2 linked regions of the Neodiprion lecontei genome follow. Each later gene encodes a partner of the first gene's protein in a complex. Links are inferred from orthologs where the notes say so. Each region holds a gene or a part of one and is shown on either strand. Other genes may lie near its edges.

The links.
Region 2: integrator complex subunit 1 (region 1) and integrator complex subunit 12 share a complex: the UniProt entries of both Homo sapiens proteins name them as parts of the integrator complex. The link is inferred for Neodiprion lecontei from reciprocal best matches to the Homo sapiens genes INTS1 and INTS12.

Annotation. Positions count from the first base shown.
Region 1 is NC_060263.1:39,937,373-39,943,795, reverse strand, and holds the start of integrator complex subunit 1, read left to right. Parts: upstream 1-2,253; 5' UTR 2,254-2,508; exon of another isoform or gene 2,509-2,660; 5' UTR 2,661-2,715; intron 2,716-2,948; 5' UTR 2,949-3,024; coding exon 3,025-3,187; intron 3,188-3,365; coding exon 3,366-3,841; intron 3,842-3,935; coding exon 3,936-5,225; intron 5,226-5,330; coding exon 5,331-5,506; intron 5,507-5,594; coding exon 5,595-5,747; intron 5,748-5,831; coding exon 5,832-6,423. Other genes in the region: vesicle-fusing ATPase 1, read right to left, coding at 17-241, 659-747, 1,536-1,559. UniProt on the Homo sapiens protein: Component of the integrator complex, a multiprotein complex that terminates RNA polymerase II (Pol II) transcription in the promoter-proximal region of genes.
Region 2 is NC_060264.1:35,288,522-35,295,183, forward strand, and holds integrator complex subunit 12, read left to right. Parts: upstream 1-2,244; 5' UTR 2,245-2,948; exon of another isoform or gene 2,949-3,226; intron 3,227-3,610; 5' UTR 3,611-3,632; coding exon 3,633-3,791; intron 3,792-4,024; coding exon 4,025-4,393; intron 4,394-4,516; coding exon 4,517-4,592; intron 4,593-4,673; coding exon 4,674-4,966; 3' UTR 4,967-5,113; downstream 5,114-6,662. UniProt on the Homo sapiens protein: Component of the integrator complex, a multiprotein complex that terminates RNA polymerase II (Pol II) transcription in the promoter-proximal region of genes.

The DNA of each region.
Region 1 (6,423 bases):
TATTTCTAATACTCACGTTTTCTTTTGCAGGAAGTCGGCTTCGACGACGATTGTGCAGAGGAATTCAGAGCTCGATGTTGGGTCAAAGTGATAAGGACGAACTTCGATGTCCTGATTGAGGGACAGTGTTGCCCATTTACGTTGAGGCAAGCTGAAGCCGACTGTTCCACGAGGTATGTCATGATGGGTCTTTACCGTGAAAACGAAATGCTGATTTGGACCTGTAGTAACTTCGATGTGCCTGAGACAATACACATTGTTAAATCTTGCGAATCGAATCCGAATTAGATTACATTTGACAATTGTGGTAAAAAGAAGGTGTAGTGAGATTGTACTTCGTTTGCGGACAATTCAAATATCCTGATTAATGACAGAACCATTGCTAGAAATGAGGGATTGACAATAAACTATTTGGTTTATAGATCATCAGCAAAACAGAGGAAATGAAGAAAGTGAAACGAGTTTCAGAAAATTTTGGATCTTCAGTTGTACTGCCATGTATCAAGTTTTTTTCAATACAATTCCAAACAAACTTGATTTTTCAAAAAATAATTAAGTAATAATTAAAACTTCATTGTTATTACTACACCAGCTTTCTTTGATTGCTGTAATAATTAATTCAAGCATAATTTAAGCAAATCGTAGGCAAACTACTCACTTTATATCATCTGGAAAATCATCACGATTTATCACAGCACAGTTGGAGAGGCTGAGCTCGTCGGTAGGACACTTGATCGCTTTCATTATCTATGAAAAATGTAATATTGTTAGTAACAATAAATCAGACAAAATAAACGAGAAGCTATGGCCAAGGTTATAAAATTCAAGTTGAAATCGCTGAGCGACAGTGAACTTAGGTAAAGATTAGATAAGATTTAATGATGAAAGTAAAATTGATTGGGTTCAGAATTCGCAGAACATTGATTTTATATGTACACCCACAAGTTTGGGAATTTTAAATAGAAATTATGCCAGCTGGTCGGACAGTTTGAGTAGCTATTTATAAATATTCTAAAATACATGTCACACACTGTCAAACTGATTCAAATAAATAATATTTGGCGGTGAGGAAATGGTATAACGATATAAGAGTCACTTGGTGCATTGCACATGGTTCATTTATTTGACTGAAATTCGACTAGTAAGTATATTTAAGCAAATATCGTCACGAGGCGTGACTGCAGGTGAGGAAAGGATGAATTAGATGTGATAAACGTCATTTTTACTAATCAGAAAAAAAGATTAAACAGAAAACCTTTTTTGTCGCGCGCGATAGTTACGGAATCAGGCTTCAAATACGAAGGTGATTTTCGAAGAAATTATTTATCCGGGAATGAACTAATAGCTCAATAAATTCAACGTGACATAAGCTGCGACTGTAATCAGGATTATTGACGTTTCAGTTGCGCCGAAGGGGCGTGCGTTATTTTGTGCAGCAAACGCTCGTAGGATTTATGATCGCAAGTATGATGTTCCTTTGTGTTCGTAATTCAGCGATTTAACGTGTAATTAACAGATCTTAAGCAACAACTTACCATGCCCGGCATACTTTTTGACATAAATACGATAAACTTAGGCTCCTGCTTCTATAGAACCCGCAATGCAGACAGTTCTGTTCTCTTTTTTTTTCCCTTCCCAGCAATCTGAATGCGATCAAGCTTCGAACTGAAGAGAGTATCTAGAAGGAGAATCAGTGATCACGTCAGCATGCTGGGCCACCATAAAACTGTAACTAGAGAGAACAGCCTGCGCGAGTCGCTTGCGTCCCGTGAGTGTTGGCGCTCTCTCATATCATTCGTTTCATAGAGCCAAAGAGCCTGAAAGAGCCTGAGAACCATAGACTTTTATGATGAGAACCCGTTACAGGGTGCATTTTCACGGGCAGTAAATTAATGCCATCGCAGCTAGCAGCGCCACGCTGCTACAGAAAGTGAAGAGCTTTCCGTGAAAATGTATCGGCAGCGGCAATAAAACGCTGCCCGACAAGCGCAGCCGTGAACTGATCACATGGTTTATCAGTGAATCTCATTTGTGTTGATATTCGCTTGCAATTCGTGAGTTCCGTAGTTCCGACCCGTGGTTCCGATGGTGCCAATTAGCCTTCTCTTACGCGTTTTTTTGTGATACCCGGCAACAATAACATCCTTCTGAACACGTCAGAACTACGGGTCGGAATTATAGGACTTATGAATTGCAAGCGAATATCAAAGGAAATGAGATCCACTGATAAACTACCCGATCAACTAAAGGCTGCGCTTGTCGGGCGGCGTTGTGCTGCCCCTGTCGACACATTTTCACGGGAAGTTTTTCGCTTCGTTGCGTTGCTCGCTACCGCGGCGTTTTACTGCCTGTGAAAATGCACCCGCATACAGCATTGCATACACACTGCACTACTGCAGTCGTCAAGAAATTCGCTTAATTCAGTTGTGTTGCACCCAGTCGCACCGCAGACGCTACAACTGTTTTCGAGTGATTTGAACTCCAAAAATGAGGAAGGGAAAATCAAAAGTATTTTGATGTAATATTTAAGTGAAAACTCCAATTAGAAAATATATTGAGAAGAACAGTGGTAGCATGGAAGCTTCTTCATCGTTCAAAAAATTAAACACGTTGTCTTCCTGTTAAATTATGTGTCAAACGGCTTTTCTTTCTCCGTATAGGTTAGGTTGAGATGCGGCGAGAATTTCAATCGCAGATTGCGAACTCCGTTCTTCGGTAAACCATATTTAATGATATGTGTATCACGTTTCTGATTACTCTCAAATTTTATGCAGTTCCTTGCTGCATAAAGTTATAACTGCTTCAAAATTGTGTTCTATTTTCCTGTTTCTCCTGCTTAATCTCATTACATTCTTACCAATTTTACATTCTTAACAAGCGCCATAAACATTGTCTTATATACATTTGTATAATTGAATGGTTTAATATAATTTATTTCATTAAAATAGATGTGCATCTATATCTAGATACAACTATCGATCAAGAGCATAAATAGTTTATGCGTTGCATAAAACGTAGGAGCAAATGGATCGCGTAAAGACTGGAACAGGCCGTGGGGCCAAGAGCAAAATAGCTCAGCATCCCGCAGACTTGTTTGCTCTTGGATCAAAAAGTTCCAGAGGTGAAGCTACAGATTCCAAGCGACCTGGTGTGATCCATGGGAAGCCAGGCCCGAGTTCTACCTCAAGTACGACTTTTTTCAGTGCTACTAAAATTTACACTTCTTAGCTTTCTTCAATACTCTCAATGCTCAAGATAGCTTGTGTTTTTAAAATAAGATTGGTGGAATGAATTTGCAAAGACTTCTGGATCGTAAATTAGCTAGTCAAGTGGTGCATCGTTTACATTGGAGTATTTTCGTGCAGGTTCAGATCGTAAGAAGGAAGCTCCACCGGGATCATTGCAGTCACTTATTCCTCAGAAAAAAGCAAAATTGGCTCCACATGTCCCACATTCTCGGCCTCCAATGTTAAGCTCGGAGACTTGGGAGGGTGTAGCCATTGATTGTGATCCAGCGGATTTAGCCCCGATGGTCCTCGAAGCAAGTGAAAATGACGAGGCTGATAAAGTTGTTGGACTTGTTTGTGGAGCTGTGAGAACACTTAAAAATCAGAGATGGAAGCCAGACACTTTAATTTATATGGGTTTAATGTATTTGGCCAAAATACGCCCATCTATTTTTTCAAATGACTGTATTCTGCATGCTTTGTCGTCGCTCCTCAAACGAGATCAGACACATAATTTCAAGAGCAAGGGAAATCCCTTGGTACCAGTGCTAGCGGCCAATTTATTGATGAGAGGCTTTCACGAGAAGAGGAATTGGCCAGAAATATTTGTCAAAGTAATTGCTGATATCCTTTAATTGCCTTTTACCAAATCGTAAATTTACGCATGTTTGATTATTTCACGTTAACATATCCAATAAATTCTTACAGCTTTACATCGAGGATGCACTGGGTGAACGAGTCTGGGTAGATAACGAAGAGTGTAAAGGATTTGTGGATAACATTTTGACGGGTTTCAACACGAGGCACCCACCCAAAAGTATATTACAGCCGGATGTGTCGATATTAACACCGAGGGAGTGTCACAGTCCATCGACATTAGAGGATGACGACCCCGCCACCTCTGCTATTCAGTTATCCGGAGACAAAGAAAAAATCGAGTTTCCAGTTATGCCCAGATATGCACACTGCATAGAAAACATTGAATTGGTTGTGTTAGAGACAGTAAAAGAACAATTGAACAGACGTCAACCAGAGTCAATAACCAGAAACTTTTTGAAATTACTCTCCTTCGCTTGCGGCTTTGTAGAAATTCGAATCATCGCTGTTCCAAAATTAGAAATGTGGCTACACAATCCCAAGCTTATGAGACCTGCTCAAGAATTACTCAGTTATGTCTGTTATAATTGTATAACGCACACACAAAGAGACGTTGAAGTGATAAGTCAGTTGGTGAAAATGAGGCTTAAAACTAAGGCGGTAATCAACATATATCTGAACGGTGTTAGAGAGCTGATAAGCCTCCACCCAGAAAATTTATCAACAACTCTGAAACATACAATCTATAATGAGTTATCCAGTGCTAGAAATCCAAATAACATGCCGATGCTTGCAGTTATGTTTCAAGCTGCTCCTGAAGCTGCTGCAAGATTACTTGCCGAAATATTTCAAGATTTGCTTATGAATCGCGAGGATTATTTAAGACCTTTAAGGGCATTGTTAAGGGAAATAGTCCGTGTATGCAGACACGACATAAATCTGCTCACATTGGCGCGTACGTTGATGGCAGAAAGAAAAGAAATATCGCAGCAACTGCTCAGCTTCGAGTTTAAAGACAGAGTTTTTGTATCGATTATTGATTTATTGTGCTTGTGCATGTTTTTGGCCATCAGCCCTCAAGTCAAGGAGGCTGCCTTGCTGGCTCAGAGAGGTGACAAAAAAGATGTAGCCCTCTTGCAACAGTTTCAAAACTTGGTCGCCACTTTACAGTACGAGTCTGTTTCCTGGCTTCAAAATTTAGCACCGCAGATGTACAGTGTTGGAAGGAACGAGCTAATTCATGCCTTGCATAAAATATTGCTGTTAGAATCTCCGGACCATTATTACAAGCTGGATAACTGGCCACCAGAATCAGATCGAGTCTTTTACATTCGTTTAGTATCGGATGTTCCTCTACTGCAAAGCACGTTGTTAAGATTACTGCTGATAGGGTTTTCTAAGGTGAGTTTTTTTTTCTTATTTTTTTCAATCTTATTTTTCTTATTCAGGCCTACCTAATCAAGCAATATCAATTTGGAATGTTTTTACTTTCTTCTTTGTTTTCAGGAAAATGGTGTAACACATTCTGAAACCTTGGAAGTAGCTGATCAACTGATAAGGCGAGCAGCATTAAACTCCTCTGAAAGCTATCCTACTCTAGCAGCTGACAAGATGGACATAATAGAACTGATTTTCAATCTTTGCGTCTATCAACCACCAGGTTCTATCAATATTCCTCCAGAGTAAGTTTTATACTTTCGTACACTGCGAACTGAGCAGTACAAAATCTTCAAATGATATTTACTTTCTAATCATGCTTTGCTTTTTTAGTTACGAACCACCAACTTTGGCTATATCAAATTTGTATTGGAAAGGTTGGATAATGCTACTGATACTAGCAGCCCATAATCCATATTCATTCGGTGCAGTAGGATGGAAAAGATATCCAATTTTGCAAACCTTCATGGAAATGTGTATAACAAAGTAAATATCCTTGTCATTTTTCGAAAGTCAAATCTTTTTTTCCTTGTTTACTTAAAAATTTGAGCAATGACCTGTTTGTTTCAGCCACTTTTCATATCCCCCACCAACGATGGCCTTACCTGAAGTTAGTGAACAAGAACGAGCTAAGGAACTGCAAGTAGAGGCGCTAGAGAAGCAAAAAATACTAGAGTATGAAACCCACTTGGCCGCTGCATCGACGAGAATGCAAATTTCCGAACAAAATAGTCTTTTATTATCTCAATTAATCACAATGGATCCGACCGGAATAGCAAGAAGACCTCCGCCGGCAGTTCTGGAACAATTGCAGTCTCTAAACGTATCTCATCGCCTAGGACATTTGCTCTGTCGCTCACGACGGCCTGACTTTTTGCTGCACATAATCCAGAGGCAGCAACAAAGCTCATCTCAGAGCATGCCATGGCTTGCTGATCTTGTTCAGAACAGTGAGGGGGCGTTGAGCCAATTACCAGTTCAATGTCTCTGTGAGTTTTTATTATCAACGAGCGTTCAAGCAGGCGATAAACAACCAAGGCAGCAGCAACTACTTGCTCACCTGCAGAAGTTACTCACAGATCCAACTCAGGATCAACAACATGCGTACGAAGTATTGGAATACTTTTTGAAACGATTAAGCAGCCAACAAAGCGCCAGTCGA
Region 2 (6,662 bases), on another chromosome or scaffold:
TACATATATACATGGATGAATTGCGAGTAGGCGTGTCTCTTTAGCAATAAGATGAGGTTTTCTTTACAATGTCTGAACAAAGAATTTCACAGATATTATCGGTACCTTGCGTTTATTCATTATTATCGTATCATATGTTATACCTATACAATATATATAAATGCGCTTTCTAATTAATTATAACTTAAGGTACTTACCAAGTATGCGTATGAAAAATTACAACTCGCCTCAGAAAATCGATAATGCTGATTTATTTGTTGATCTATTTTCTTCAGGAAAAAAGCAAGTAACTTAAGTCTAATATGATAATGATGATAATAATAATAATAACAACAACAACAACAATAATAATAGTGATAATAATACTAGCTGAAGATGTCAAGTCTCAAACGGAAACTTTTCTACAAGATAAAAAGGAGACATCGATGACCAATTACTTATGTTTCTGATTCAGTTGAGCTGGAATTCCTGCTTCGATTCGTATATTATTTGGCAACAAAAAAAAAAGTTACGACCACCTTTACCGTTATAGAGGCAACTATTCTGATGTTACTGAATTTTGTTTCTCATACGAGTCTTCCAGACATATTTTCGCCAAGATATATTGTTCTGAATTATTGTAATTCGTAAAATCTATCTAATCTGAGTTTCGTTTCATTGTTTGAAGCCGCGAAATAGATTTACTTCATGTTATTCGAAAATATCTTTCCTTCGAGTTTCAGTTTCGAAATTCTCAATAACGATTGATTAAACGTCATACAAATGCTTGCAATTTGTGATTTTCTTAAAATTGTTGTACATAATTTATAGCAAACTGATTAAGAAGTCAACGATTAGCTGATAGACTTTTTTTTGTTTTATAAACTTGTAAATAATACTATAATAATATTTTATAGCGCTATATACAAATAAATATTTGCGCTTATCTTGAATTATACACATTTAGGTAGTATTTATAATAGATCTGTGATTGTAATATTTTTTTAACTCTACCATATTATTTATATTATTGCCAACTATGCGTGGTGCGGTATATTGAAAAATTGTGGTTTTTGGATCAGTTTGCTTACGGATTTCAATTAGTAGATAAACCCTAGCCATAGTTTATACTTGACTTGCGAATACCGTATAATCAGTATGAGTATACATAAAAATTGTAGTTTGTATACGTTGTGTACATACATACCCAGAGTATTGTGATTCCCTGAAGTAAGATACTCGTGTGTGGTTCAACAATAACGTCACCTGCAAAGAGCGTCGTGTAGAAAAATGTATTTACCTAAATATGTATGCGTGTAGTTCATTTTCCAGTGTCATGCGATTACAGTAAAGAAAATTAAAATCAAGAAAGGTTTTCATGCGAGAGAATATGAATGTAAATATATAAAGAAAAATATATAAACGTAGTTGTATTGATCGATGTAGCAACAAGTAATATGATAATGACTATGATACGTGAAAGAAGAAACAAAAAAGGATGTAATTTGCAATTACCATCAACAACATCGATCACAATGACTTTACTTTAGACATACACAAAGTTTACCACAAAATTTTCATATAATTTACTTTACACAATTTCCTTAAAACGTACGACTGACTGCTTCACAATCATGCTATGGTCAACACAATACCCCGAAATGTTAATTTTTCAATAATACTATTGTTATCATCCTGATAAGACTTTCATAAAAAAAAAAAAAAAAGGAATACTTATAAATATAATATACATTGTACAGCAGCCATGCTTATTGCATAGCGTGAAACTGTTTGAGCATTTCGAAAATCCTAAGTTTCAACCTGTACAATATTTTTAATACAACAAAAATGATGATACGCTGTTAATATAATATGTAAGCTACATATTTATTTATACGTCGGCTATCCGTCTAACCGCGTGTATAAATATCCCTGCGTACTCGAAATGAAAATGATCATAACTTATTCTCTTCTAGCAACAAAATTGTACTTAACGTAAAATGTAAAATAAAAGATCTGTGTGTAGATATGATGCTCGTAATTACGCCCATATCGTCACCCTATTAAAGATTATTTTGTTATAAATCACATAACGCGTTATGACCGAAATTCGGATGTATTTTATCATGTAATTTAACATGTGAATACGAATTAATACATAACAAATCATACGATAAATCACGAAGTATAGATTATAAGATAAAATACACAACAAATCATATACCGAAACCTATGATTTCTCATATGATTTACGTATTTTATGTTATAATCTATACTTCACGATTTACTATGAGATGTAAAAATACGTATTAAATTGTATTCACATGTTAAATTGCATCATAAAACACATCCGATTTTCGGTCATAACATTATGTGATTTATCACAGAATAATTTTCAGTAGGGTTGATTACAGTACGAATCAGACCGCCGCTACCTAAGAAAATATGACGTCACAACAGAAAAACATTCATTAGGCATATGGACGTGCCTACAGACCAACTTCGTGCTACAAACATGCTCTAAGGTTTTATCATGGAGCAATATTAATGGTTTTATATATTGCAAATTTCAAATTACCCTCATGGTGTATTACACTACGATTACCCTTAGATTCTCGTCATTTTCTTCTCATGTCAAGTTTTCGAACAGAATATCTTTCGTGGACACTTATCGGTCTAGAATGAAAGCATTGTGATTTGCGATATTTAAATTGTTACCGCAATCGGTTAAAACTTTGGAACGCACCAATTACATCACTGAACTCGAACGAGTGCTTCGAACTCTATCGGCACAACAGATAACTCGCCGATACGATCCCCAGATGTCGCTACGAATATTCAGTAATCGCAAAACAAGAGACTAGCATGAGAAATGGGTGGGAAAACTCGTGTTAGTAGTAATAGTAGTATGCATGTACCGTCTTCTCAAGTGGTCTGTGGTCCTTCTACCCCGCATCCGATGGTATTGGGTATAGCCTGCCGGTTGTTTTACGCTATACTCCGTGGTTTTACGTTTTATATAGCGTTGTTCCATACATGCTCCGCACACATCAGCGTGAAGCACGTACTTAAACAGCACTGCACAGGGCCAATAGCCACAATAGCAGTGGCACGTTGATTCTGCACAGAACTGAAGTAGACAGAAAATACTGATCCAATAGTACTTATCTATCCATTCCTCGGTTTTTTTTGCAAAGATATTATTTAGGTTTTAAATCGATTTCAATGGTCGTATAATGTTAGGACGGTAATTATTAGAAACAATATATTATGTAGGGAATGACCTCATGTTTCTATTTAAGTCTGTTAAATACCGAAGTGAACTATTGTATCTAAAATAGCTTGGCTTGAAAAGAAAAATAAAATACCCTCGATATCAGAATTCAAAATCATTCTTCCACCATGTAAAACACATCTCCCTCATTCCTAAAACAGGAGAAAAACTTCAAATTGTTCAGTGAAAATTTAAGCAAATATGAGGAATTAAAATTATTCGAACCCCTCCTTTGTTTGATCACTTGTGATGCCTTCTATTTTTGAAAGGATCTCCAATATGATAAAAACATTGTCTTCCTTGTAAGATAGAAGTATAACCACGCAGCATATTTTATTTTTTAACATTTTTTCCCAGGTGAAACAGTGTTGCGATAATAATGTCTCAGTTGGATCTCGACCCTCAATTCATGCAAGGACTCCGTCTCCTACATTCGCCGAACAAGGATTCAGCAGAACAACTTCGGTCCCTTCTTGATGACGCAATCAGACAAAAACATGGCCCAGCGAAAATGCTCTGCAATGTTCTCCATAAAAAGGTACAAATAATAGATTATTTTTATTTTCCCAGTCCAGGTCTCAATTTGTTAATTGTTCTTGATATTGAAAAGGCACTGTTCAACAGCATAGTATCAACATTATTGTTTAATCGCTTCATTTCGATTTTAATAATATGCTATATGAAATCTTATCGATTTTTGCCTCTCCCCAAAAATTAAAGGATCAATCTTTGTTCCATTGCAATATCGCTGTGAATTCATTTATTTTTCAGTACACAATGGAAGAGCCAGTGCTTAGTGACCACAGCAGTGGTAGTAGCAAGAAGAGCAAAGGATCCACCACGTCATCCAAGCACTCGAGCAAATCGAGTAAAAACAGTTCACCCATCAACCTACCTTCGCACGACACTCCCCCAGATATTATCCAGACAGATGACACTTTCGCCCTAGAGATTCTAGAAGATGATTTAACATGCGTCATTTGCAAGGGAATGGATGTAGGGGCAAGGAACCGACTTGTGGAATGTGTAGAATGCCATTCTCTCTATCATCAGGAGTGCCATACGCCTCACATTCTGGATACTCAAATAGATGATCCGAGACTAGTTTGGTATTGCTCGAGCTGTTCAAAATCTCAACAGGTGGGTAAGGTTTTGTTTGAAAATTCTATGCCCACAGACATTTTTTCATTTTGAGGCAGGTCTTCTAATTGTATTTGGAAGCTTGGTTGACTTTCATTTTAATTATTCCTTCAACTATCTCAGGCGTCAAAGGACAGAAGTTCGCCGCGAACTATTGCCGAAGGAAAATCGAAAGATCACAAAAAATCATCAGGTTCCAGTAAGTGTACCAAAAGGAAGAAGAGTTCAATGATATTTTCATACAAAATGCTTGATTCCTTCGTTAATTTGATTTCCGTAGCCTCGAAGCATTCCGACAAGTACAAATCAACTTCTAGTAACGCTACCTCGTCACAGTCGAATAGTGGCGGCAGTACACCAACAGGTGCATCTAATGCACCAAAACTCACACCGAATATAAACATTGTCAGTGGGGACAGAAGATTAAGGGATATGATGAAGAAAGTGAAGCAAGAGAAACGCAGTAACAGTAGTGGTAGTAGTAAGCATTCTTCGTCAAATGCACTTTTATCTTCGTCAAAAACTGCCCAAGATAAGTCTTTACTGTTTAAGATAAAATCGGGCTCAGAATGAATGATAGGAATTAAATCCTTTTTTTTATGTTCCTCTCATGCCGAGCAATCTTGCTTCGAGAGCCGATTTTGGATTGAAAAAAACTCTGTATGTAAATGTATCGAAGTAAAACAACCTTTTTTTTTATTTAAAAAAGAGTTTATCCAATTCTGACCAAACTTTTATCCCTTGCCCCTTTTTTTTAGACAGGTATAACATGGTATGAAATGAATAATGGGAAGACATAATAAGAACGTTTAGTTTATAATACCAATATATTTTGCGATTTCTCAAATGTTTGTCCCTACGTCCCATTGAAAATTTGGCAAGAGTCGTTTTCGTTTGTTTGTTCATAATTTGTTTTTTTTTTTATCTCATTTTTTTTCCGAGCGTCACTTAGAACCTAGTAGGTGCGGGATTTTTGGTTATTATGTACAGGGGTGTCATGGGGATATATTAGCATGCACACACATATATACATATTTCGTAATCTAATAATAAAATATGTTCGCTTCCTATATCAAAGTGGTGTGCCTACTCATATTACCCAACAATACCTAAAGTATTTCCAAGTACCCGTACAGAGTATGTTCCTATTTAATGCTAATCCAATATGGTGACTTAAGTGATTTCAAGCGCGCAGCAATAAGTGAATATTGATTGGTGAAAAGTTTTAATTTTCGTTACCATCTGTACAAAATTTATAAATATTTGAGATATATGTATATTGTATGTATATATCAGCTGTAAAACCTATGTTCGCGTTTGTTGTGCACAACTTATATGAAAATTATAACAGAAACAATTGGCACATTTGTATAAAAAATGTACGTACGCGACTTCAGAATGTCTATATTAATGTATCTATATACCTTTTTATTTTAATTTTTAATTTTACTTTATATTATATCAATATGAACAAAGCTGTAATTGGCGTTATTGTTTTCTGAATCGTTTCATCTTTTCCTTTCTTTCATCTAAACAGCTACAATCATAAATAAGTTAAAATCATCATTTCGTACACAAATGTTAGTCTGTTTTTTAGTTTCTTCTCGTATAACACAAGCTGAAAAAGTACACTGTAACGGAGATGATGGACTAACATGAAAGTTTCAAAGTGATCACATTGGATATATTGAAGCCGGAATATGCTCTTGGGGTACTTTCAAAAAATTTTAACTCCTTGTGGTTATTTGCACGCATTCGCGCACTAAAGTAATTGTCTTCGGTGAGTCTGTCGTCCGTTCGTATCTGTGATCCACCCACTACGTAGCCGATTATTATGTGTGCACGTAACGTGTTTTATTTTTCACTTTTCGAGTAAACACGTACGTTGCTCGCACACGCTGCTGCAAAATATCACTGTCCAATAATGCAATTCAACCGATTCCTTTGAATAACGATAGCGTTAGCCGGTGTGGATAACATGTAGAAAAGTAAAAAATAAAAATAAAAATATACACATAAGACGAAACTCCAAGCATGACAATGTTTGCAACCGTCACAATTATAATAAACTTAATGACACAATGTCAAATGTAGCTGCACTATTAACGACGTACGTTCTTACAGTACTAGCTCATTCATAGGTATAAATAAATACAATACATAGAGAGAGAGAGAGATACATATGTTTGTGGCCTGAGGGGGGGGGGGGGGGGGGGGGCGAGAACGAGAGCCTGGAGACAAAAAAAGGCGCAAAATAGAAAGAAAGGAT